Xenopus tropicalis: one gene and its partners. The protein of the gene in region 3 interacts with the protein of the main gene of each other region in a pairwise test. Links are inferred from orthologs where the notes say so. Each region holds a gene or a part of one and is shown on either strand. Other genes may lie near its edges. The genes, in order: glyr1, stat1 and eif1ad.

Region 1 (7,725 bases), on a different chromosome or scaffold from region 3:
AACTGCATACGACGGGGTTCGGCCATTGCCCCCCCCCAAATTATATATACAGATTTCAGTTGTATACAGCCATGACCTCAACAAAGGTGACACACCAAGCAGAGAAAATGACTAACGAAAAGAAAAATTGCTCTTTAGTGAGACCCTCTATGGATCAGACGTGAGTCATGATACGGTGAAGTCTGCTCGACTGCCTCTACCCTGCAGCTTTAAGGGACAATGTGAGGGTGACAAACAGCTTCCAACCCATCTGCATCGCTGCCGGTGTGTCCTGTAAAACATAAACAAGAAGGAAAAGATGAGCTTTGAAATCAATGATACCATTGGTACTGTAGAAACTGTATGTCTGTGTACGGCCATTTTTTTAGTTAGTCACCATGGTGGCCCTACATGACTCCCCAACAGCAAACATGATTGGAGGGAGAGGTAACATACACTGATACATATATCTTACACTGGTAAGATATAGAAATCAGTCAAGCCAGGCACCAGAAGATCATTAATGATACCATGCCAGGGTGCACAGGGATTGGTTTGCTGCTGAACACTTAAGCAACAAGGTTGTTGAGGTTCCAGTACGGTCTCGACCTGACTTGATAGTAAGGCTGAAACGCCAATAAGAAGAGGAGGAACCCCAAAGGGTATTTGCTCATGTGCTGTGCCCCAAAGTCCCATCCACTGTTCAATAATGACACTTAATAAATGGAAAAGTTGTGCCACAACCACAAACCAATGAAACAAAGGCAGTGGTGCTGAATTGCCTCCAGAGAAGTGACCAAAAGCAGCCAATCAGATATTTGAATTCACTTTATAATTTAAGCACACTGATTGGTTGTTAGGGGTATCTGGTACTGCGCACTGATGTGCATGCAGGCAAATCATTTTGTACTTATTCTGATATACGCCCACCAGTTTTATTTTAATGTGCACACGTGGTTTTAAAGGGGAAGTCCACCCAAACACAACTAAAGGCGGCCATACACAGGCTGATTGTAGCTGCCGATATCAGTCCCTTGGACCGATTCGGCAGCTTATTGGCCCGTATAGAGGCACAAACGACGGGTCTGCCCGACCCACATCTGGCCCGAAATCGGGCAGATATCGATCAGGCAGGTTAAAAAATTTAGTCGGATCGGGGACCGCATCAGCTCGTTGATTCGGTCCCAGAACCGACTGCGTCTATTACTGGTGTTCTCATTAAATTGGCCCTGGGGCCAAACAACCGAATTAGCATGAATTCACCCGATATCCCCCACCTCGGGAGAAGATCCGCTCGCTTGGCGACCTTACCAGGCAATCGGATCTTACCGTGTATGGCAACCCTTAAGCTTTTTGAAAAGTAAACATAATTTCAAGCAACTTTGCAATATCCAGCACTGGTTTGGATCCCATAAACCCCGCCCTCTGTTCCCCTGCTGATCCGACTACTTTGAGACTCAAATAAATAAACAAATAAACATTAGTCGCCTGTCCTCAGCCTGCATCCTCCCAATCCCACAATTCCCTGCACATGTGATATCAATGCGGAAAGGAACACAATACAATGCATTGTAGGTTATATAGTTCCTACATGCTGTTTGTAAAGCTGGCCATACACGCACCGATACTATCGTACGAAACCTCGTTTCGTACGATATTCGGTGCGTGTATGGCATGTCGGTGAGTCGACCGATATCGCGGGAAGCTGCTGATATCGGACGACTCGCCGATCGGCCAGGTTAGAAAATTTTGTTCGGGCGCCATAGAAAGCGCCTGACCAAAATCTGCCGTCAGGGCTGAATCGGCAGAAGGAGGTAGAAATCCTATTGTTTCTACCTCCTTATCTGCTGTTTCAGCCCTGACGGTGTGTGGCGGATCTGACAATGTTTCGTGCGACCATCGCCACGTGTATGGCCAGCTTAAGCGGTGGAGAAGTTGTTATAATTTGTAACATCAGTGTTTTAGTCCCTCCTCCCCTGCCAGGATTTCAAATGATGCACAAGAAAAGAATTGTTTACTGTTTTTTTACACAGCAGGTGCAAATGATACTGCTCCATAGGATAAAAGGGAATCAATGGTGCCAGCACTTGATAGGCAGCAACTTGGATGTTTTGCGGCATGGAAAAGGTTAATATTCCCAAATGCCGCTAGATGAAGACATTTGAGGGCTCTGACAGTTTGATGATCACTGGTTAGAACCTCACTTAAAAATATACTGTGGCGTGCGTTGTAGGCATAACTTACCCTTTAAAAGAAAAAAAGACAAATAACAATGCCAGGAAGACCAGTATTTATCCCCCCCCCCCCCTCCAAGGTCAAACCTGTAGAAAGCCCCCTTTGTGTTTAATACGAAAATAAAGGCCTTGAGCCTCACCAACATATTGGGAGTATATATTAAATAAAAAATCAGCATGTGGGCGAAGGTTATGGGACTTCTTTGTGGTACTGGCGCATTAAAGTCTCAGTGCCAACCTACAGTATGAAAAGCAAAACGTGTGGAGGTAAAAAAAACCCTCTCAAAATAACAAGACTTAAGTCTATTTAATTCGGTTCACTTGACTATAGTCTGGTAATGTGCTTTATTGCGTGAAAACAATACTAGAAATGCATGGGGCTGTGCTGGAATTTGACACTACGCAGTTTGCCCGCCAAAAACAAAGCAAAACACAATTGGCACAACCGCGTATAAGGCGTAAGTGACACATCTGACAAGCGAACACCTGGTTTTATAGCCACGGGTCGCGCCACTGCACACAGAGGGGGCGGGAAGATTCCATTGCGGCTGAAGAGAAAGTACCCGGAAGTGCTTCTAAACAACACCATAAACTGACGTGTTTATAAAGAGGAACTCAACTTCCGTACCCAACAGTCCCCACCCACTCACCGCGGCGCTCCCCAGTCCGGAGACCCCGTACTTGGAGAAGGGTTGACAGCCGTGGAAAGCAACGTCACCGGCAGCAGCGGCGGCGGCGTCACGTGGTCTGTAGAAGCCAGCGAGCTAGCGCCTCCTTAGTCACATGACCTCCCACGGCGGCGCCGTCGACAACAACAACAAGCATTGACAGAGAGCGAAGCGCCTCACGTGACTTCAATAGCGAATAGGAGACGGTTTTGGTGTACGGGCGCGCTTCCGCAGACACGCTGGGCGTGGCTAACACTGACGTCTGTCCAATCATTGGTTGGGCTTCATCGATATTTTTTTTTACGCTGCTCATTGGCTCGCCGCGGTGGGAGGAACAGGGTGGGTATTCGTCGCAGCTTGGGGAGCCGCGCACGGCGTTTGGGTGGGAGGGAGCGTTTCCTGTTCCCAGCATCCTCCGCGCAGCTAATTTTTTTTCCTACCCCTTCCCCGCTGCTGGCTGTGTCGGTAAGATGGCGGCAGTGAGCCTGCGACAAGGAGATTTGGTGTGGTGAGTGTTGCTGTGGGAATGGTTGTAGGGCAGGGCAGGCCGCGCAGGCCTTGAGTGCGCAGCTCTGTATACAAATGGGGAAGGACAGGCAGTGCCTGAGTTGAAAGGGCTGCCTGTGTCGCCTCACTCCCTGCTCCTTGGGGCTGGGACTTCAGCTGCTTCATCAACAAAGAACCGAGAAATTAAGTATGAGGGAGGGCGATTGTGCTGCCAAGCTGCTGAGAGACACACACAATGGCTGCTTAATGGCAGATACACACACAACTTTCCCTACTACTCAGCATTCTGGGAGTTGTAGTTCTGTTGGTAGTGAAGATTTCCTCTTACTGACATGGAGATGACAGTAAAGGGATAATAGCCTTAAATTTAACTTTTACACTCATGTGATTGTTTAAATACGTTCGTAAGGGGTCTTCTATTCTTTTTTTGTGTGTTTTTTTTTTAATGGTCATTTTTCGCCTGCAGTTTGGAATTGGAGTTGTGTTGCTTTTTGGTTGCTAAGGTCCATATACTATAGCAACCACTTTAAATGAGTGACCTCACAGGGTAGCCCTTTGCTGGTGTGCAGGGAAAAAGGTTAATTTATATTATTGCCCCGTAAACCTACAGCTATCGGTCAGATCATTGCAATAGTTTTAAAACTATATATTCTTCTAATGCATTATTCCATGTATTATGGTGTTCCTGTATTTGCACTGAGCAATTTTTAGCAATTTTTTTCTACTTATTATTTAAATCTTTGTTGTCTTTTTTTTTTGCCTAAAATATTCTGGGAAATGGATGTATGATCTATTTAGTTTTATTATTTGTATCCTGTGTTTACAGACTGTTGAAGGACAAGGGAAGGCTGAATCACTGGTGCTGTTGGCACCCCTCTGATTGCTTCAGTTTACTTGCGACCCTAGGGTCCATTTTGTTCCGGTGTCCCAGCATCCCCTGCTCCGTCCTGGCAGTAACAGGGTGAGAACCCTTCCTTGGGCAGCGGCTCCCTGCAAGTTACCAGGGGGCACAAAGCCAGTTAGTAAAATGATAATAAGCTCTTCTGGTGCACAGAGCACAATAGTACTTTCTGCACTAGCAGTACGGCCCCCTTGGGTCTTTGCCACTGGAACCTTTCTTTCTCCTGAATCCAATTCTCTCATTTTACTGAATAACTAGTCCAACACTGTTCTTATTATTGCCAAGCACCGAAACTCAAAATTAGTTTAAAGGAACAGTAACACCAAAAAAAGAGCTAAAAGAGTAATACAAATATAATGCACTGGTACAGCTGGTGTGTTTGCTACAGTAACCCTACTATAATTTATATAATAAGCTGCTGTGTAGCCCCGGGGGCAGCCATTCCTGCACTGGTAAAATTGGTGTGTTTGCTACAGTAACCCTACTATAATTTATATAATAAGCTGCTGTGTAGCCATGGGGGCAGCCATTCAAGTTGGAAAAAAGGAGAAAAGGCACAGGTTACATAGCAGATAACAGATAAGCTCTGTAGAATACAATAGTGTTTTATCTGTTATCTGCTAAGTGCCTGAGCCTTTTTTCCTATGAATGGCTGCCTCCATGGCTACATAGCAGCTTATTTATATAAATTATAGTAGACTTTCTGAAGTAAACACACAACTTTTACCAGTGCAGGGCAGCAGCACATTATATTTTAGTTAGTTTTATACACTTTCATTTTTTGGTGTTACTGTTCCTTTAAGGTATTATGTCAGATATATATTGTATAATTGTTAACCCCCCCACATTTTTATATTGCCTAGAGCTCCATTTTGCAGCAGTATCGGCCCTAAACTCTTATGGTGGCCATACACGGGCTGATTCGGCAGCTTATTGGCCTGTGTATGGGCACAAACGATGGGCCTGCCCGGCTGATATCTGGCCTGAAATCAGCCAGCTATCGATCGGGCAGGTTTAAAAATTTAGTCGGATCCGGGACTGCATTGGCTCATTGATGCGGTCCCCGAACCAACTGCGTCTACTCCTGTCATTCTAATTTGATCGTATTGACCAAATTAGCCCGATATCGGGAGAAGATCCGCTCGCTCCGAGACCTCGCCAAGTGAGCGGATCTTAGCGTGTATGGCCACCTATAGGCTGAGTCCATACCAACTTTGCAGGGGGGATTTTGGTCCATTCTTCCAAACAGATTTTTCTCCAGGAACGTCAGGTTTGTTGGATGATGCTTTTCCTCAATTAGCAAATTCTGCCGTTGATTCTGAACTGAGATCTGGGCCAGTGCAGGACATTTCTCTCTTGAGTCGCTTCAGTGTTAATGATTGGGATCATTGTTCTGCTAAATAATGACTATACGGCCAAACTTCTGCTTTTTTAGCCAGAAGAGTTTTTCCCTCTGTATTTTGCACCATTTATTCTTCAGTTTGATGAAAACATGATGTTTCCAACACCGTTCCTCAATGTCGGCAGTATTTTATTTGCACCATGTGAAATTGATCTTTAGCCAAAAATTCCTGTCTTGGTCTCATCTGAACAGACATTCGTGTCCTACATGGCAACAAGGTCATTCTGCATGGCAGAGTCCCGATGTTCTTTCTTCTTGTCCTTTTTTAGTAAGGGCTTCTTTTGTGCCCCACTCGCATACAGGGAAGTATCTGAAGTCTGTGAAGGTAGAACAGCATCCTTGTAAACAGAAGAAAGAATGGATAGTGAAAAGGGCAGGGAAATATTGCTATAGATTGGGCAGAGGTGTATCTTTCAGCTGGAGTATAATCCAAAGCTCTAATTTGGGTTCAGTTGAGAATTGAGGTGCATCATCCGACTATCCTGAACAACACTGGTTTCTGCCAGTCGGTCATGCAGATTTTCTAAATCATGAGCAATGTCCAATGCTGCAGATTTTGAGCTTTGCTTTGAGTTGTTCACCTAAAAGTTAACTTTTTTAGCGTGCTGTAATCAGTTCTATGCCCCAGTTAGGAATTTTAGCAACTATATGGTTCAAATTACTTGACTGACTACAAAGATAAGAAATAAAAAGTAACAAAAACAACAAAATTGTAGCCTCAAAGAGCAATAGGTTTTGGCTGCCGGGGTCAATGACTCCCTTTTGATATCTGGAAAGAGTCAGAAATGGAAACCAAATAAGAAAAGAAAAAAAGACTAAAAAGTAAAAACCAACTGAAAGTTGTATCTATAACATTATAAAAGTTAGTGTAAAGGTGAACCACCCCCTTAATATGAAGACTTATGCAAACAGCATATTCTATTACTACTATTTTTTTTTTTTTTTTTTAAGGACATAGATATCCTTATCTTGAATGCTGGCCACTAGATAGGGCACATAAAAATAATGTGTCTCCATTTAAGAAGCAGTTCCAGTGCACACTCTTTCCCCAGCAACTGTGAGGGGGAAGACACACAGAGCTACTAGTAGCAGCTACTTGTCACAGCTACTAAAATAGACAATGCTGATCTTTTTCTGATAATTGTCTCTGTGTGTTTTAGCAGAGGCAATTCTCAGTATTGTCTATGCAGGGTATTTTCTGACGTTTAGTATCTGCTACTAAGTAGCTCTGTGTGTCTTCCCCCTCACAGTTGCTGGGGAAAGTAGCAGCTTTCAGACAGTTGGAGCACTTGGGCAGTACAACCTTAATGCAGATAATGCCCTGGTTGGAATACTAATAATTTATCAGCGTGGACTGTTCCATGTGTTAGCAGTCAGGTTGGGCTCTCTGGTTGTCAGTAGCCCAATATCATTGATATGGAACCTTGTGTAGTGCGAGAGTTATAAGTGGCCCTTAGCTTTTTCCTGTGTATGATATGTCTTAAAGAGATACTGACACCAGAAATGAAACCTAATTTTACATCTATCATAACATCGTCTTTGCATGCTATTTATAATTTTGCCATAAAAGTACAGGTATGGGACCTGTTATTCAGAATGCTCGGGACCTGGGGTTTTCCGGATAATTTGGATCTCCTACCTTAAGTTTAAGCTAAAAAAATTATTTAAACTGTAATTAAATCCCAATAGGATTTTTTTGGCTCCAATAATATTTAATTACATCTTAATTGGGATCAAGTACAGGTACGGTTTTATTATTACAGAGAAAAGGGAATCATTTAACCATTAAATAAACCCAATAGGGCTGTTCTGCCCCAATAAGGGGTAATTATATCTTAGTTGGGATCAAGTACAGGTACTGTTTTATTATTACAGAGAAAAGGGAATCATTTAGGGCTCTGGCACACGGGGGAGATTAGTCGCCCGCGATTAACTCCCTGTTCGCGGGCGACTAATCTCCCCGAGTTGCCTACCCCTGCCATCCCACCGGCGAACATGTAAGTCGCCGGCGGGATGGCAGACGCGGCGGGGCGA
Region 2 (7,674 bases), on a different chromosome or scaffold from region 3:
AGAAGTCAAAAAATCCCCCAAACATTTCGTTTTAAATCTAAACCAGTATTTGCGCTGCTATAACACTTTCTCCTTTGCTCTCTCCTCTGTGTTGTGTGGGGATTGCCAACTTGCATTCTTCCCAAACAGGAAGTTGACAACGAACTGGTTACTGCTCATGACAAGCCTCCACTGTCCATTCTCCACCACCTTCCTCCAGCTTCACTAGCCCCTACCAGTGGTTTCTCTCCTCCTATCCTCCTTCATGTTTGCAGCCCCCCTAAGTGCTGAAAGTTCCACCCTTAGATTCTGCTATTCAGATCCCAAGAGGAAATCCTACCTGCACATCTCACAAGTAAATGCTCCATTAAATTGCCGCTCCAAAAATCACATACATTAGTGACAAGCAAACACGCTGGAGCTCATCCTTACACCGAGTACTTAGTGCAATGCTTTTTATACCCACCTTTTTACTGTCAAATGCTCTTTGGCACAATAAACACTTATTTCACATGCAACACTCGCTGTGCAGCGTGTAATATAGTAAGGTTTCAAAGCAAAGATTGGAAAGCCTGGTGAGAATTTAACAGATTAACTTCTCCCCCTTAATTAGCAGGCATAGGGAAAGAGACAACTTTACTATAGGTGTAGTATTACACAAGACAAAACAGACAAAACAAGTGTAATAAACTTATTTATCCACCAGCTCTCACCAAACAGAGGAAAAAAAAGCAGTTTACCTCAGTCAGGTAGCAATCTGTTATTTAAAGTCAGATATTGCAGGGTAATGCTCACATATTTAAAAATTAATTATGGAGATTTATGACTTAGGAAAGGGTACTGTAAGAAATGTATCAGTGTTTGCAGATGACATGAAACTATGCAGCCCAATTACTTTCATCCAGAATGTGGCATCCTTGCAGCAGGATCTTTACAAATAATATAATCTGGGTGTCTAAGAAGCAGATGACATTCATTGTTGACAAATGTAAGGTCATGCACCTGGGAAGTAAGAATATGCAAACCATTTATACCCATGAAGGATTAGTAAACTTTAAAATATGTAAAATTGATAAGTGCTATTCTAAGCACTTTTGCAATTTACATTATTTTTATTTTTTTTTGAAGAATGAACAATATTAAGGGCAACGTTTACTGTTAATTTAATTTTTTACATATATCTTTGCAGAGGGGAAGAAGCACACCAGTGTGTCAGCAATGCCTTTAAATCATGTAACCAATTAAGCAGGAGCAATCTCCCCTGATACCCCACTATGGGAGAATAGTAACCTACCGCATCTTTCCTGGAAGCAGGATCCTGGGCCGGAGTAGAGATAAAGCGCTTTGACCACCTTTACTCTAATGGTGAACTGCACACACTCCCTCTGCTTCAACAAATTGCCTCCCGACCTGGCCTGTCAGACCTCAGATATGTACAGATTACGCGCGTCTGTGGAATACAGTTCCAACAACCGCCACAGACACAGTACTTAGACCTAGAACACTTGATAATACAACCAAGCAAAACTAAACTACTCTCAAACACCTACAAGCTCTTAATCACTAAGAGATATGACCCACGGCCTAGGGCAAAGCTTAAGTGGGAGACCTCTGGGATACATCTAAATCCCGATGACTGGGAAGAAATCACGGACAATTTATACCAGCCCCTAATAAGCAAAAGAGACAGACTTATACAATTTAAAATTATACATCAGACTTACCTCACCCCACAAAAGCTACACAATATGGGGAAAACTGACTCCTCTAACTGCCAAAGATGCAAAGCATATGGTCAACTTCATGCACCTAATATGGGACTGCCCTGAAATACAAAAATTCTGGGGCAAGGTCACAGAATTTATGGGAACAGAACTGGAACTCAACCAGTACTCAACCCGGCTACCTGTATACTGGGCCTCCTGGACACTCCGATACCTAGAAGGAATACAAAGCTACTACTACTATGAGACTACTACTTTTTTATGCCAAAAGAACCATCGCTCTGAGCTGGATGGGCCGGACACCCCCATCGCTCCGCAATTAAAACTGTATAAACTTACCTACCTCGTTAGAGGTTGTCCGGCGAAATTTGAGAACATTTGGTCTCCTTGGACAGACTCACCAGCCACAACAGTACAATGACTGTTTACTCTCCAATCTCTTCCTTTCCTTTCTTCCCTCTCCTTTTCTACCCTATTCTATTGTTGTTAAAAAAACAATAAAAATCAACCTTTAAAAAAAAAAAAAAAAGAAAGAAGAGAGGGCTGATCTGATGTTCTTCCTGTTAGGAAAAACATGGCAGCAGCCTGCATGAAACTTATAGTTTTGCACAATTTAGTATCATAATAAAATATATAATACGTAGTATAGTAGTAATACACACCTCCAGGTTATTATTAAACAAGTTAAAAAGCAAAGACCAAAGACAGACCCCTGCGGTACTCCACTAACAACACTGGTCCAATTGGAAAATGTTCAATTTAACAGCACTCTCTGCAATCTATCCTTCAGTCAGTTCTCTATCCAATTACAGGTATGGAATCCCTTATCCGGAAACCAGTTATCCAGAAAGCTCCGAATTACAGAAAGCCCGTCTCCCATACCCTCCATTTTAATTACCTAATTTTACCTAAGAAAACTGGAAAAACTTATTGACTCGAGTATAAGCCTAGGTAGGCCCTGGACACCCTGGACACTCATTGGTGAACCAACCCTAGTAACTCTGGGGTAGGCACCCTGGATATTTACCGCTAAAAAGTCAACAATACATTCCACCATCTTGTTCTGCCCCCTAGAAGCCTGCGCCATGGCGTATAATATAAAGGTTCCGTTTCCAGCTTCAAGAACTCCATTAGCAAAGGGAAAAGTCGTGTCTCTTCCTTATATTTTATTGTCAGTAGCCACCGGCAAACAAGCTAGTATAGGCCACCAGTAGCAGGTAGGTAGGCAGGCCTGGACTGGGATTCGAAATAGGCCCTGGCATTTCAAGTACACAGGGGCCCAAAAAGCCCCCCAGCCCAATAAATAGTGACTGTCTGTGGCATCTTACATCAGCCCCTCTGGCATTTGCCAGAACCCAGAGATTGCCAGTCCAGGCCTGTAAGTATACAATACCTGCCTAGGGACCCACTGACTGAGCTTTCCATATCTGCACAAGGTTGTTTCCCATAATTCCCATGCACTCCCATAGTGCAATGCGTACCGGCCAAGGCCCAACCAGAACATTCAGAACACTCTCTGTAGGGCACAACAGTGATCCGAGGGGGTCAGCTGACATCCAGATAAATAAACGGCTCATGTACAGAATCTGTATATAGTGATGCACTCATTGTAATATTATTGTACAAAGAACTACAATTCCCAACATGCTCCAAATGACCACAATGGTGATTTATCCTTTTGACTTTACTTAGCTAGCAGCCATAGAGCAGGTGGTAGTGATATAGGGTAATGTATAATTTAATAAATCTGGGATTTGTAGTTCCCAGATTGCCTTCTTATCTGTGCCCCCTTCCTTTGTTTCTCTCCTTATCACCCAACACCCTTTCTGCGTACGCATTTGTACATGCCCAAAATATTGTTGTGTGCACATGCATGCGTGCGTTGGTTCGTGCACGCACGCCCGTCCAGCCCTCTGTCCAGCCGCGGGGAGGGAAGAGGGGTGCCCCGTAAAACAAACTTGTTCAGCCTCGAATCCTTATACTCGAGTATAAGCCGAGGGTTCGTTTTTCAGCACATACAGGTCCATGTTAATCTAGGAAAGTCCTGCCCAGTTTACCAAATTAGGAAAACCGGGCAGAGAGTTTTGGCCCAGACAGCCCTTCTGGAAACCGTGTTCTCTGGGGAAACCCGACTATTCAATGTATTTTTACAGTGCAACTGCTTCACATACACCAATAACAGTTTATACAACAAGCTAAGAACAGATGCATAAATTACAATAGGTTTGGTTCTTACACGTGTCAAATGAAATCATAAAATAGGGCAATCATTGCCAGTAAATAGAATATTCGTAGGTAATAAATGAACAGCTATAAACTTTAAATTGTAAAATAATATATATTCTTAATTTATGAGGAGCAGTATCTCTAATACAGGGAGTGGAACGGTCTATTTGCACTAGAAGAGCTGAATTTAAAAATTAATTGTTAGGGGCCTTCTTTTGCCACCCCTGGTAAACTGTTGCACACTCCCGTCTTATGGCAGGAATGGTCATGCTGGCATCATTTTTGATAGCGATATTTTATTCTGTAAGTGAACATGACATGATTTAGTTATTAATTGGATATGACAACTGAAGGAGAGGGTAAAATCAAAGACAACCCTAAGGCAATAGGCCATTAGAGCGCTTGTTATTTCTAGGGTGTTCTAAAGTTTGCACTGGGAAAAAGGGTTATTCTGTCTTATATTCAAATAGAAATGTCTGTCAAAAAACTCAGAGATCAGAGTTGAGACTGAAAAATACAGGATAAATTTGTCACCCAGTGGTATTGGAATACATTCAAGTTAATTAAACCCACAGACATGTTGTGTAGATTTTTTTTTTTAGATGAATTGTGCAAATAAAATTTGCTTGGCTAAGTAGTGGCAAATATTAAACAATAGCAGTGCAGATTTGCAGCTCAACTTAACAGTACATGACAGCCTTTAGAGTGCTCACAAACCAATGTAAATTAAAATAGGGGTTTCCAAAAAACAAAAGTCACTGTGGTAAGTGATACACCAGCTGTACACAAGGATTCACAAATGGGCAGGATTACTCAGCATAAAGCAGATTAAACATGGGCTGTGCACACTGGAGTTTATAACCAAGTAGACCAAATACAGAATGATCCAGTCGGCTTATTAATCAAAACTGGGCAAATGTTAGCAGAGGCAGAATGATGCACACAATTACGAAAATTATATAATATATGCTGCAGTATAGTGATGAGTATATAATAGACCAAAAGAGCAATGGGGTTGCCCAGACAGGCACAGTTATAAAAACAGAATCATTAGCAGAAGCGTTTATACCGATGATGTCCTAAAATGGGCGCCGTACAGTGGAGTAAAATGTCTCTCTTTCAACGTACCTGACGCCGTCCTGTATAATAAGCTCAAGAAAGCAAAATAAAACGTCTTGAAATTTACTTTGATTCCGGATACCTCTAGAATCACCAACTCACACACACAAAACCGAAAGAAGAAATGAGGGTACAGCCCTTACTTCCTAGACTGCAAGCTATCCCCGCCTCTAAATCTTGACTTCAGCAAATCATAAAATTGTTTGCTGGCTGTTACTTTAAGTTGGATTGCCTCCCTCTGCTTTGATGCGGACACTTCTTAAAGGGCACCGAAACGATTAATTTGTGCACATTTAATCTTGCTGTAGCAAACAGGCTACTTTTTACAGTTTACTTTTTCAGAACTTTTCTTCTTATATGTATTATATGTAACACTATTTTGTCTTAGATTAGGCCAACCCAGGCTTGTAGTGTAATATAGAGCATGTGTTACATGTGACCCTTAATTCTTCGGCATGGGCCTCTGCTATGTGGGAGATGTAAGATAGGAGCTGAGGGTGTAGTTGAACTACAACTTTCTGATGCTGTGTAGTGTAGATGGTATAAATGGACGCAGAAAGGTTCTTGCTGGTGAACTATAATACAGATTTATTGGTCAAAGACACAGATGTTATGCAGGGTTATCATACTCACAGACATGCAGATTGAAATGGTACAATGAGGGATTTCTCTTTTGTAGAAGAGAGAGTGTACACCGGTTTACCCCACCTCTTGGTAGAGTCTGGGCCGGGATATACACCTTTCAACCAGTACCCCTTGAGAGATAGTGCAAGTAGTAGGAACTCCTTCAGGTTGATAACCTCTAGTGGATTGAGTCCTCCTAGAGCCCTGCACTGAGACAACATTGCCGGATAGGAGAAATACTCCTGGATCTAATCATTCCTTTGGTAGGCTAATGGCCCTTTCTAGCTAGAGCTGACTATGCTCACTTCTACTAGAGAGTGCTATTAAATAAATCTGCTGTGCTTACTTATCCTCATTCACAGGGCCCTGTCCCTGACTTATACAATTAGTAAGGTGTTCTTTGGACTAAGGTGGCTTACTGGGGCCTGTTGCAGCACCCAGGCTCAGAAGGAGCTGTGCTTAGGTAGCAGACAGGCAGCCAAAGAGGAAGCCACTCCTCCCTGCTAGACGCTATTTCAGTCTGCAGGGGGAGTGGTCAACCTGACTAAATCTATAGGGAATAGTGTTAGAACAGTAACTTAAGTACAGGGGCTCTGCCCAATAACAATAGAGGTGTGAAGAGGTAGAGGATAAAGCCATAGGGAGCTTAACCCTATGGGTCCCTACATATATATATGTATATGATATTTATACATTTACTTATTTTGATCTACTCAATAAATGTACATCATAAAAAGAGCTGTATTTACCATATAGGTATCAATATATGCCCCAAAATAAAAAATATTGCAGTCATTATAACTACTGCAAAATCAAGACATTTACTGACTTTTATGTGTGGTGAAAAAATATTCTCACATAAAAGTCTCAAAAGACATTCTCACTAGGTGCAAAAATCATTCTCCCAAATCTAAAATGAATTCTATATCTTTTTACTCCAAACATTAAAGCTTTGATAACATTTTTAAAAACCACCTTCCATTTTGCAGTAACTTATCAGTCACATATCCTTATGCTGCTGGCACACGGGAAGATTAGATAAATCTTTACTACCACGGGCGATGGCACATGCATTACCTCATGAGGAAACTATGGGCGACTTTGGAAAACCGAAGCTATGTGTATGCCATGCCACCAGCAATTCACATTCTTGCTGACAGGAAGACACTTTGGGGGAGATTAGGCACCTGCGGTAGCGAAGATTTATTGCATGCATCTAATCTCCCCGTTTGCCACCAGCCTTGTATACTAGGGGGCACATTTACTAATACACAAACGGGCCGAAAGCGTCCGAATGCGATTTTTCGTAATGATCTGATCTTTGATTTTTTTCAACGTCGTTGTGACTTTTTTCGCGAATTATCGCAACATTTTCGTCACCGTCACGATTTTTTCGTGAATTGTCGCAACTTTTTTGTCGCCGTCGCGCCGCTCAATATGAAAAAGTCGTGACAATTCGCGAAAGTCGTAATGGCTACAAAAAAGTCGCGACAATTCACAAAAAAAGTTGCGACGGCGACGAAAAAAATCGCAAAAAGTACGAAAAAGTGGCAAAATGTTCGTTTCCAATCCATTTTTTTCCCATTCGGATTCGTGCATTAGTAAATCTGCCCCTAAGATTAGACATATTAATATGAATACCAGGGGTCTTTTATGTGTCATATATGCCCCCTAGTATGCAGACCCCTGTAAACCATATTTCTCCTACAGTTCCTTATGTACAAAGATCATAAATATGAGTTTGTTGCCCAATATGCATATATTTACCTAAGTATGTGGTATGTACAGACCCCATAATATATGGCTGACTGTGGCTTCTGCAAAATATTCACCCTGTTTGTTAATTATGTATCATTAGTAGAGATGATTCATGTATGTTGAATGTATATACCCATTTATTGTACAGCACAACGGAATATGTTGGCACTTATAATGTTTGAGGGGCTTTATATATGTTATAATAATAATGTTTTTGGGGGGGGGTGGGCATTAGCAGTAATAT
Region 3 (7,723 bases):
CCAAACTCATAAACCAGAATGTTGATGAATGGGCCTTTATATGTCAGTGTATGTTTTGTACAGAGAAACTAGGTAATATAAAAGCTCACATTTAAATCACTATTTAGAATGTCCATTATTTCTAATACAGAAGTTCCAATGAGCACCAATATTCACTCATTTATTATGATTTTGCGTGTGAATTACATTTAATTAATGTAAGGAAATATAGAGTAATGCAGCTAATGCACCACAAAGATTATATAAAATGAGCCCTAATCTAAGTCAGGAGCGCCCCAGATGCCAATATTCCCAGCAGATTTCCTACACACAAAGTGGACATGCCCCTAAATTCAATCATTCTGGAAGCAGGGAGTGCAACTGGTTTGGGTCAAAACACACCAAACTTCCATTGGATCCCAGGGTGCTGTTGTTTAATCGGTGAAGAAACTATCACCCAGACGAGAACAGCATAATCTACTCTCCCTATTATGCATGTACACCAAAATGGTGGTTGCAATACACTAGAAATGCAGGGGAGAAAAAACAAAAGATTATTCTTTAAATGTACTTATATGAGAAGAGGCTATACTGAAAAACGTAAGTTTGGGAGGTATGAATTGACTATGTGGGCTTATCCTAAAATGAGTTTTTCTGCTGTTTAATTTGGGCTAAATGGATGTATACTGTATAGCCACTATCTCTGAGGGTCATGTGAAGAAGATACCACAGTGTACTCCACGGTTATATCTCCGTGTCAGTTTATACATAGCATTGTACTCGTGGCAACTGTAGAAATTAGCACCATGTACAAATTATGTTTCAGTATGTACATATCATATACTTCTTTGCAGTTGCTTAATTAAAAAAAACAAAACATTCCTGACTGGGAAGTCCATAGACCCTGAAGGTGCCTGTGGTCTTGTAACCGAGCTAAAAACTGCTACAGCCCACTCTCTTCTAGGTACATGGCTGAGAACTGTGGGCACTTGAAAACTAGTTATGGGGCTACAATTTTGCATATTTAATGAAGGTTACTGGGGAGTTTGAATCCACATTGGCTTGTTTTTGCCCATATGAAAGCACCACTTTACCAATGAGGAAGAAATTATCCCAATAAAAATACATTATACAAAGGCTTTGCAAAAGGGTATGCTTAGAACACTGGCACTACTAGGGACAAGCCTGCCATCAGCTACAAAAATAAACTACCAAAAACAGGAAAGGGAGGGTGGCGGTGAATGAGAGTATTCATTACTGAGGTCTGATTATAGCACAGTGAGACTACAACAAATTTAATAAATAACATGAGAAAAACACTACAGCTATGCAAAACCTTTACTAGAAAAGCCTTGTGTTGGACTCCAGACTGTCTTACTGTAAGAGCCAGTCCTGTGTATAGAAATGGCCTGGCAGCCTGCACTTTAAATAAACAGTCCCTCTTATAATGGCTAAGTTAGCATCTGAGCACAGAAACACAGCTCTACTGTTTCCTTTTACTAATGGGCCGCTCAACTGCATTTTTATTTCCTCTTTATGTGTCTGAAAGGGTACTTGTCATGCAAACATTGTTTCCCTTACCACCAGCTAATAGAGCCCACACTCCAGTTGGTGGAAGAGATAGTATTTTGTGAAGAAAACTCCCTTCGCAAGCGCCACCCTCAAATTAATTTCGTTTGGAAATTCTGTCTGTCATGTTCTCTCTCTCTACACACACCCCCCAGTAAGACCACTCAGAATGAACTAAGAGAATTGCATTCATCTCAGACATGCCAATACACAACTGCAACTAAGAAATTAATCTTGAGCACTGCATTACCTCCAGATGAGCCACTATGTACCCTGTACATACAGCATTTTACATATATATTTACAGCATTTCAGGAAAAAACTGACCAAGCTGACTCCAGAAACAAACCAGTCCAACACAGTGTAGATAATTATGGCCAAATTATATATGTCTTGTGCAAACAAAAATAGGGTTTGTTTGTTTGTTTTTTTAATTTAGTTTACAAACCCGATGTTTTGGTCACTGACTGTGAACTTTCTTAAAGGGAATATAACAAACAGTGAATTAAGCCCCTCCCCCATATGGGTGAAAAATGGCACCAGACAATAGTCTTTTTGGCAACCTATCAACAATACACAGTGTATTGTTGATAGATTGCCATAGTGACTTGTTTCTCTAGGTTTCCATAGAGACTGTTGTTTTCATGCAGACAATATATTTTTTTAGTGCGAGTGCTTCTCCATTATATACATACAACACACTCAAGTAACCTATCAATTACTGTATAGTATAAATAATCATGATTTACAAATTAGGCCTTCTACAGATTATAAGGAGTCTTACCAGAGCCCCTCCTTTTGTAGAAGTCTTTGGTGATCCTTGTACAGGATGAAAGCTATTTCTGCTTTGACCTTTTCTCCTTCGGCTATTGGATCAACAATAAGAAAATCACCTGAAGGAAAAGAAAAAGATTAAAAACGTTATCCTTGTGGCGCTTTGGGTCCACTTCACTGCGATCTTCACCACTAAGAACATGCACTGTTGCAGCTGATCCAGACCTGGATTTAACTGTGCGTCTTTATGTCGGTGATCTTAGTGAAGAGACCCAAAGTGATGCCAACCCTGCTGTTATGCTTTACATTTTTTTAGCCAGGAAAATTGATATATTGAGTTTGCTGAATGCCTGGAAGTGCAGTTCGGGAGGTTGAGAGACCCGTGGTGTGCTGGTAAGGAGTGCTGGCATTCTTCTTACCTATGTATTATTATGATATGTTTTACATAGGAATAAGAACAGAAAAAAAGCAGATTTGCCTCCACATTTACCTCTTTTTATCCAAATGTTCTTCCTGAATTTTGTTGGCATGCTAGCCAGAAATCGTTCCCCTTCAGATGTTTCAACCTCATGGAGATTGTTACCCGGGCTTCCTAAAACCTGGAAAAATTAAGGATTTGGTTACAAAATGAAAATTACGCCACAAGGATACCTAATTTACTGGACTATTCCTGCTGGAAAAGACAATACTTTTATTATGATTATAAAATAACATTTAACTGTGTTTCCTGTTTAATGTACACTCACAGACTAAAATATTTTGAGAGTTCAGTCTAGGAATTGACAGGCAGATTAAAGGCAGTGACAGGGTGGGAAAAATCCAAGATGGAAATTGTGATGGAAGAAGGGGATGGCTATAGAAGTGGGGTAAGCTCTAGCAAAGTGTGTGTATGTTACATGAGGTAAATGAATAGATCATATGAACAGTGGTATAAACAGTTTAGTAAGAAGAAGGACATTAGTTCAGAGATTTAGGGTGGGCATGAGTTGTGATCTGCTTTTTGTTAGTAGTTTGAATTTTAATCCTGAGCGGTAGTTTAAGCCATTGTACGGAATTATCCTCATCTCTATATCAGGTAATGCAAAGTAATTTCACTTATCAGCAAAAGATATTGTATATCATGACCAGGGTGAATGAAAACCTATATGCCTATGGCTGTGCAGAATGCAGTTTACATTAAATTTGGAAAAATAAAAGACATGCAATTCCATGTTACAAATTCTGTTACATTCCAGGCCAGCCATATAATATATAAAAACAAAATTCCGACGACATTATTTCAGAAGATGAACAACTATCCCTTTAAAAACAATTATTTCTACAAAGATTCCTGCAGTGACCCATAATTAGCCATACATAATACTGGAGAACCTCAAGAGAGACGGTGCCTTTTTTAATTACTTTGCCCACCACGTGATAATTGCAACATTTTTATGTGAATTTAAAGTGATACTGACACGAAAAAACTACTTTTTAAAATATGAATCTACATAAAAAGTTACCTATGGGTCATGTTGATCATTTTTCACTGTTAGGGCTGCTTTTGTGAGTAATTGTTACTTGAAGTTCCTAAACCCGACTGTTTTGCCAACCTGACTGTCCCTTCTCATCCTGTCAGTTATAGCTTCTAATGCTAACGGACTCCTGCTGCACAAATATGGCCGCCCCCTCACAGAGAAACATGGGGGATCAGATAGGAAATGTAAAAGCCTCAGGAAATACATTTATGGCAAAATTATAAAGCTCATGCAAGGATAATGTTATGAAAGATGTAAAAAAGGTTTTATTTCTGGTGTCCGTATCACTTTAAGGATATTGTATGTAGCAGCATGCAAACATTAAGGCAAAGAGTCACCTCTACAAGGAATACAAGCGTTGCCAGCAGTATATATGTTAACCAATAGTAATGGTCTTGAACCATACCAGACAGAGCCCTGCAGCTTCTAGTAACTTTAAGAGCGAAAAAGCCAATTAATTAATCAGAAATTTCTTTCTCTTTCATCTGCACTAGCAATGAAGCCCTCCCCTACCCTGCTCTGCAGTTAAAAGGGGTGGGAACAGCACAAAAGCTAGAATTGCCACTGAACAGGCGCAACAATTTTTTGTTATTCTTTACATAGTTACATTATTTCTTCATACCGGAGATTTTGATTGACAGTTGTGGTCAAATACATCTTTTTTTGGGGGGGGGGGGTCCCTTGCCTAGCAGATGTATTAGAGCTCACTCAAATAACTGACTCCGCACAAATCTTGCATGTAGAGAGACAGGATTTGTCACTGGGTTTCTCAGGAATAGTAATCTCTAATACATCTTCTTGGCAAATGGAGCACCCCCATATGATGTATTAGACCCAAGTGTCAATCAGAATCTGAACCAGACTCCTGTATTAAGAAAGGCAGATGCTGAGAGAGGGGATAGTTCATTATTTCAGACACCATATAGAATGTTTAAATGGTTGAATTTAGGAAGTTTGTAATTTTAGTCAGAAGAAGCTTATATTAAATGTAACTAATCCCAATAGTTTCCCTTAAGACGGTGGCCCCAATGCAATTTGACTACCACTGAGTAAAGGATTCACTCACCTTAACTATACGCTGGTGCTCAGTGGGCTGCACATAATCACCAAGAACCTCCTTAACCACATGTTTACGCTTTGTGGCTTTTGACATTGTTGTGATTATTTTATCTCAGTGATACAAAGCCATAAAAAGATGCCTGTGTATGTAAGCCTGGTAAAACTGAGACTCTTCAGCATCTATGCCATGTGTAATTGCACTACTACCACAGCGTCACAGGTCGGAGCGCTTTTATAACCCAATTAACTAATATAAAGAAAACTGCGAAAAGATATAAAGTACTCCAATAGCTGGAACAAACAATACAATTTAGAAATATCTAAACTAGTTTATGCTAAAGTTCCTCTGATGAAACCAGTTTTCACTAATGATCTAGCTCGCTCAAATCAACGTGAGGCGACCATAGGTCTTTCACTTCCGGGTTCAACAGGTCACAGAAGCAGGAGTCCCAAGATGGCGAATGCTGCTCTTCCGTCGCAATTGCCTTTTTTTTTTACTTGGGTGTACAAATATGGCCGAATCCTGCACAGGGGGTGTACCGCGTAACATACTTCCGGCGGGTTCTAGAATCACATTTTCTGTTGTAAGGTGTGTCCTGCATAAGCACTTCCGGTGGGTGTGGGGGAGAAGATTTTGAGCTTTCGGGTCAGTTGGCGGGAAGACGTGAAAAGAGTGAGTAATGTTTCACACTGGGTTTAATTTCATTTTTTATCGGTTGGGGCTATATTTTGAATAAAGTGAATAGCAGAGTTGGTTAAACGATAAAATGAGTGCTTAGCTACTTGGCATGAACTAGGTGCTAAAGAAGTGGCAAACGTACCTGCCGTGAGATCAATACGCGGCGTAGCAGCGCTGCATTCTATTAGGGTAGGGAACGGTAATAATGACTTGTTAATACTGAGTGTTAGTGATAGGAGAATTGTAATAAAATAACTCAGGTTCGGCAGTGCGCCCATTCCTCCTTCCCCACAACTAAAACCGAAAGCGAACTGGTATTTGTGTTGCACACGTTGCAGCTATAGGAGCCGACACCGTCAAATGTTTTGCATTGCAATTCCTCGCTGGGTGTCTGTATCTTGCTAGAAGTGCCATCACTACATGGGATCAATGAAACTCCTCTGTGTAATCAGATTTAACTCCTAACACTCCCAGGAGCAGAAAAACCAAACGAGGGACTGCCAGTGGAAATTAGGCACAGGCACTATGCATTTAGGGGTACCATTGCATAAGCAATAATATACCAACTATAGTGGTAACACTGTTTGTTAATAAACCAGACAAAGATAAACTATAAAATAAAAGGTTAAGGAAACAGTAACACCAAAAAAGTGTTTAAAGTAATTTAACAATAATGTGCTATTGCCCTGCAATAGCTGCTCAGATTGTAATAGGGATAAATGGCACAGGTTACATAGTAGATAAGAGATAAGCTCTGTAAAACACCATTGTGCTCTACAGAGCCTATTTGTTATCTGTTATGTAACCTGTGCCTTTTCTCCTTGAATGGTTGTTCCCATGGTTACACTGCAGCTTATTTATATAAACTGTAGCAGTGTTACAAAAATAAACAAACCAGGCATCAATACATTTTATTTTAATTATGTTAAAACACTTTCATTTTGGTGGGTTACTTTGCCATAAGGGCCGTGACACACTGGGAGATTAGTCGCGCCGAGACAAAATTCTGTTGTCGTGTGCGACTAATGTCCCCGCATTGCCATCCCACCAGCGATTTACATTCTAGCAGGTGGGATGGCATTGCAGGGAGATTTGTTGCGGCGCGACTAATCTCCCCGTGTGTCACGGCCCTTAAGCAAAATATAATTTACACCTTAATAAGGAATTTATCAAATAATCTTTTCAAATCAGCTTAAACATAGAGATGCACTGAATACAATATTTTGGGGAATTTATTCAAATACCGCATTCTCCAAAAATATCTGCCTGGATATCAAATCCAAATTCTAATTTAAATATAAAATTCAAGTAGAAAATTTGCATAGTCTGTAGACAAAAAAAAAAAATTTACATTTACCATCCTATGTAAAGTGGAGTGAAACATTAGCGGTGATGTTGCTCATAGCAGCCAATCAGATGATTTGCTTTGGTTTTCTAACTGTTGAAATCTGATTGCTGATTGGTTATGCTTCACTCCACTTTTTACACAGCATGATAAATATACTTCATATTCTCCAAAAAGTGCTGCTATTTGGCCAAATCCTGAATTTGGCACATCCTTGTTTATACATGATTCTGTCTTATGTCCTTTGCCTCAGGCCACCACTTGTTATATCCTGTGTCACTCACTGATCAACTGACAGCAATAAGCAAACGAAAAAAAAAAAAAAACAGACTCCTGTACTGTGCAGGGTGCTTCTCCATGGTTCCCTCATTGTGCAAGATCTTCTTACAACAGAAAATAGCATTGAAAACAAGGTGAATTGTAGGTTCTAGAAGAATGTTTAGGATGAAGACACACGGGGCAATTAACCGCCGCAATATTATAGGATAGGATATTATAAAAGTCGCTGTGGCTGAATGCGCTGTACAAATTAGTCGCTGCAGCTTTTTAAAAAGTCACAGCTACTAATTGCTGCATGTGTCTTCGCCCTCAAGTCAATTCTGCAATTCGGCCCTACCCTGTATGTCTCATTGCAAAATTTTTTCCCTGGTGGGTGCTCCTTTTGTGAAATAAAAAAATGCACAAGCCAAGGAAAATAACATGGATGGTGTTCAAATACTGTAAGATGGCATGGGGCACCGTAAGTTTTCCCCCAGTCTGGAACTTAATCTTAAAAGGAGCACCACTGGCCCAAGGTAAATG

The links.
Region 1: the proteins of eif1ad (region 3) and glyr1 interact in binary tests that used the Homo sapiens proteins (3 or more experiments, as listed by UniProt). The two-hybrid records come from large-scale screens. The link is inferred for Xenopus tropicalis from reciprocal best matches to the Homo sapiens genes EIF1AD and GLYR1.
Region 2: the proteins of eif1ad (region 3) and stat1 interact in binary tests that used the Homo sapiens proteins (3 or more experiments, as listed by UniProt). The two-hybrid records come from large-scale screens. The link is inferred for Xenopus tropicalis from reciprocal best matches to the Homo sapiens genes EIF1AD and STAT1.

Annotation. Positions count from the first base shown.
Region 1 is NC_030685.2:14,406,878-14,414,602, reverse strand, and holds the start of glyr1 (putative oxidoreductase GLYR1), read left to right. Parts: upstream 1-3,309; 5' UTR 3,310-3,351; coding exon 3,352-3,389; intron 3,390-7,725. Other genes in the region: ubn1 (ubinuclein-1), read right to left, coding at 1-26. UniProt on the Homo sapiens protein: Cytokine-like nuclear factor with chromatin gene reader activity involved in chromatin modification and regulation of gene expression. Acts as a nucleosome-destabilizing factor that is recruited to genes during transcriptional activation.
Region 2 is NC_030685.2:43,529,605-43,537,278, forward strand, and holds the start of stat1 (signal transducer and activator of transcription 1-alpha/beta), read right to left. Parts: upstream 5,202-7,674; 5' UTR 5,058-5,201; intron 1-5,057. UniProt on the Homo sapiens protein: Signal transducer and transcription activator that mediates cellular responses to interferons (IFNs), cytokine KITLG/SCF and other cytokines and other growth factors.
Region 3 is NC_030680.2:38,880,439-38,888,161, forward strand, and holds the start of eif1ad (probable RNA-binding protein EIF1AD), read right to left. Parts: upstream 5,197-7,723; 5' UTR 4,993-5,196; coding exon 4,906-4,992; intron 2,922-4,905; coding exon 2,813-2,921; intron 2,442-2,812; coding exon 2,333-2,441; intron 1-2,332.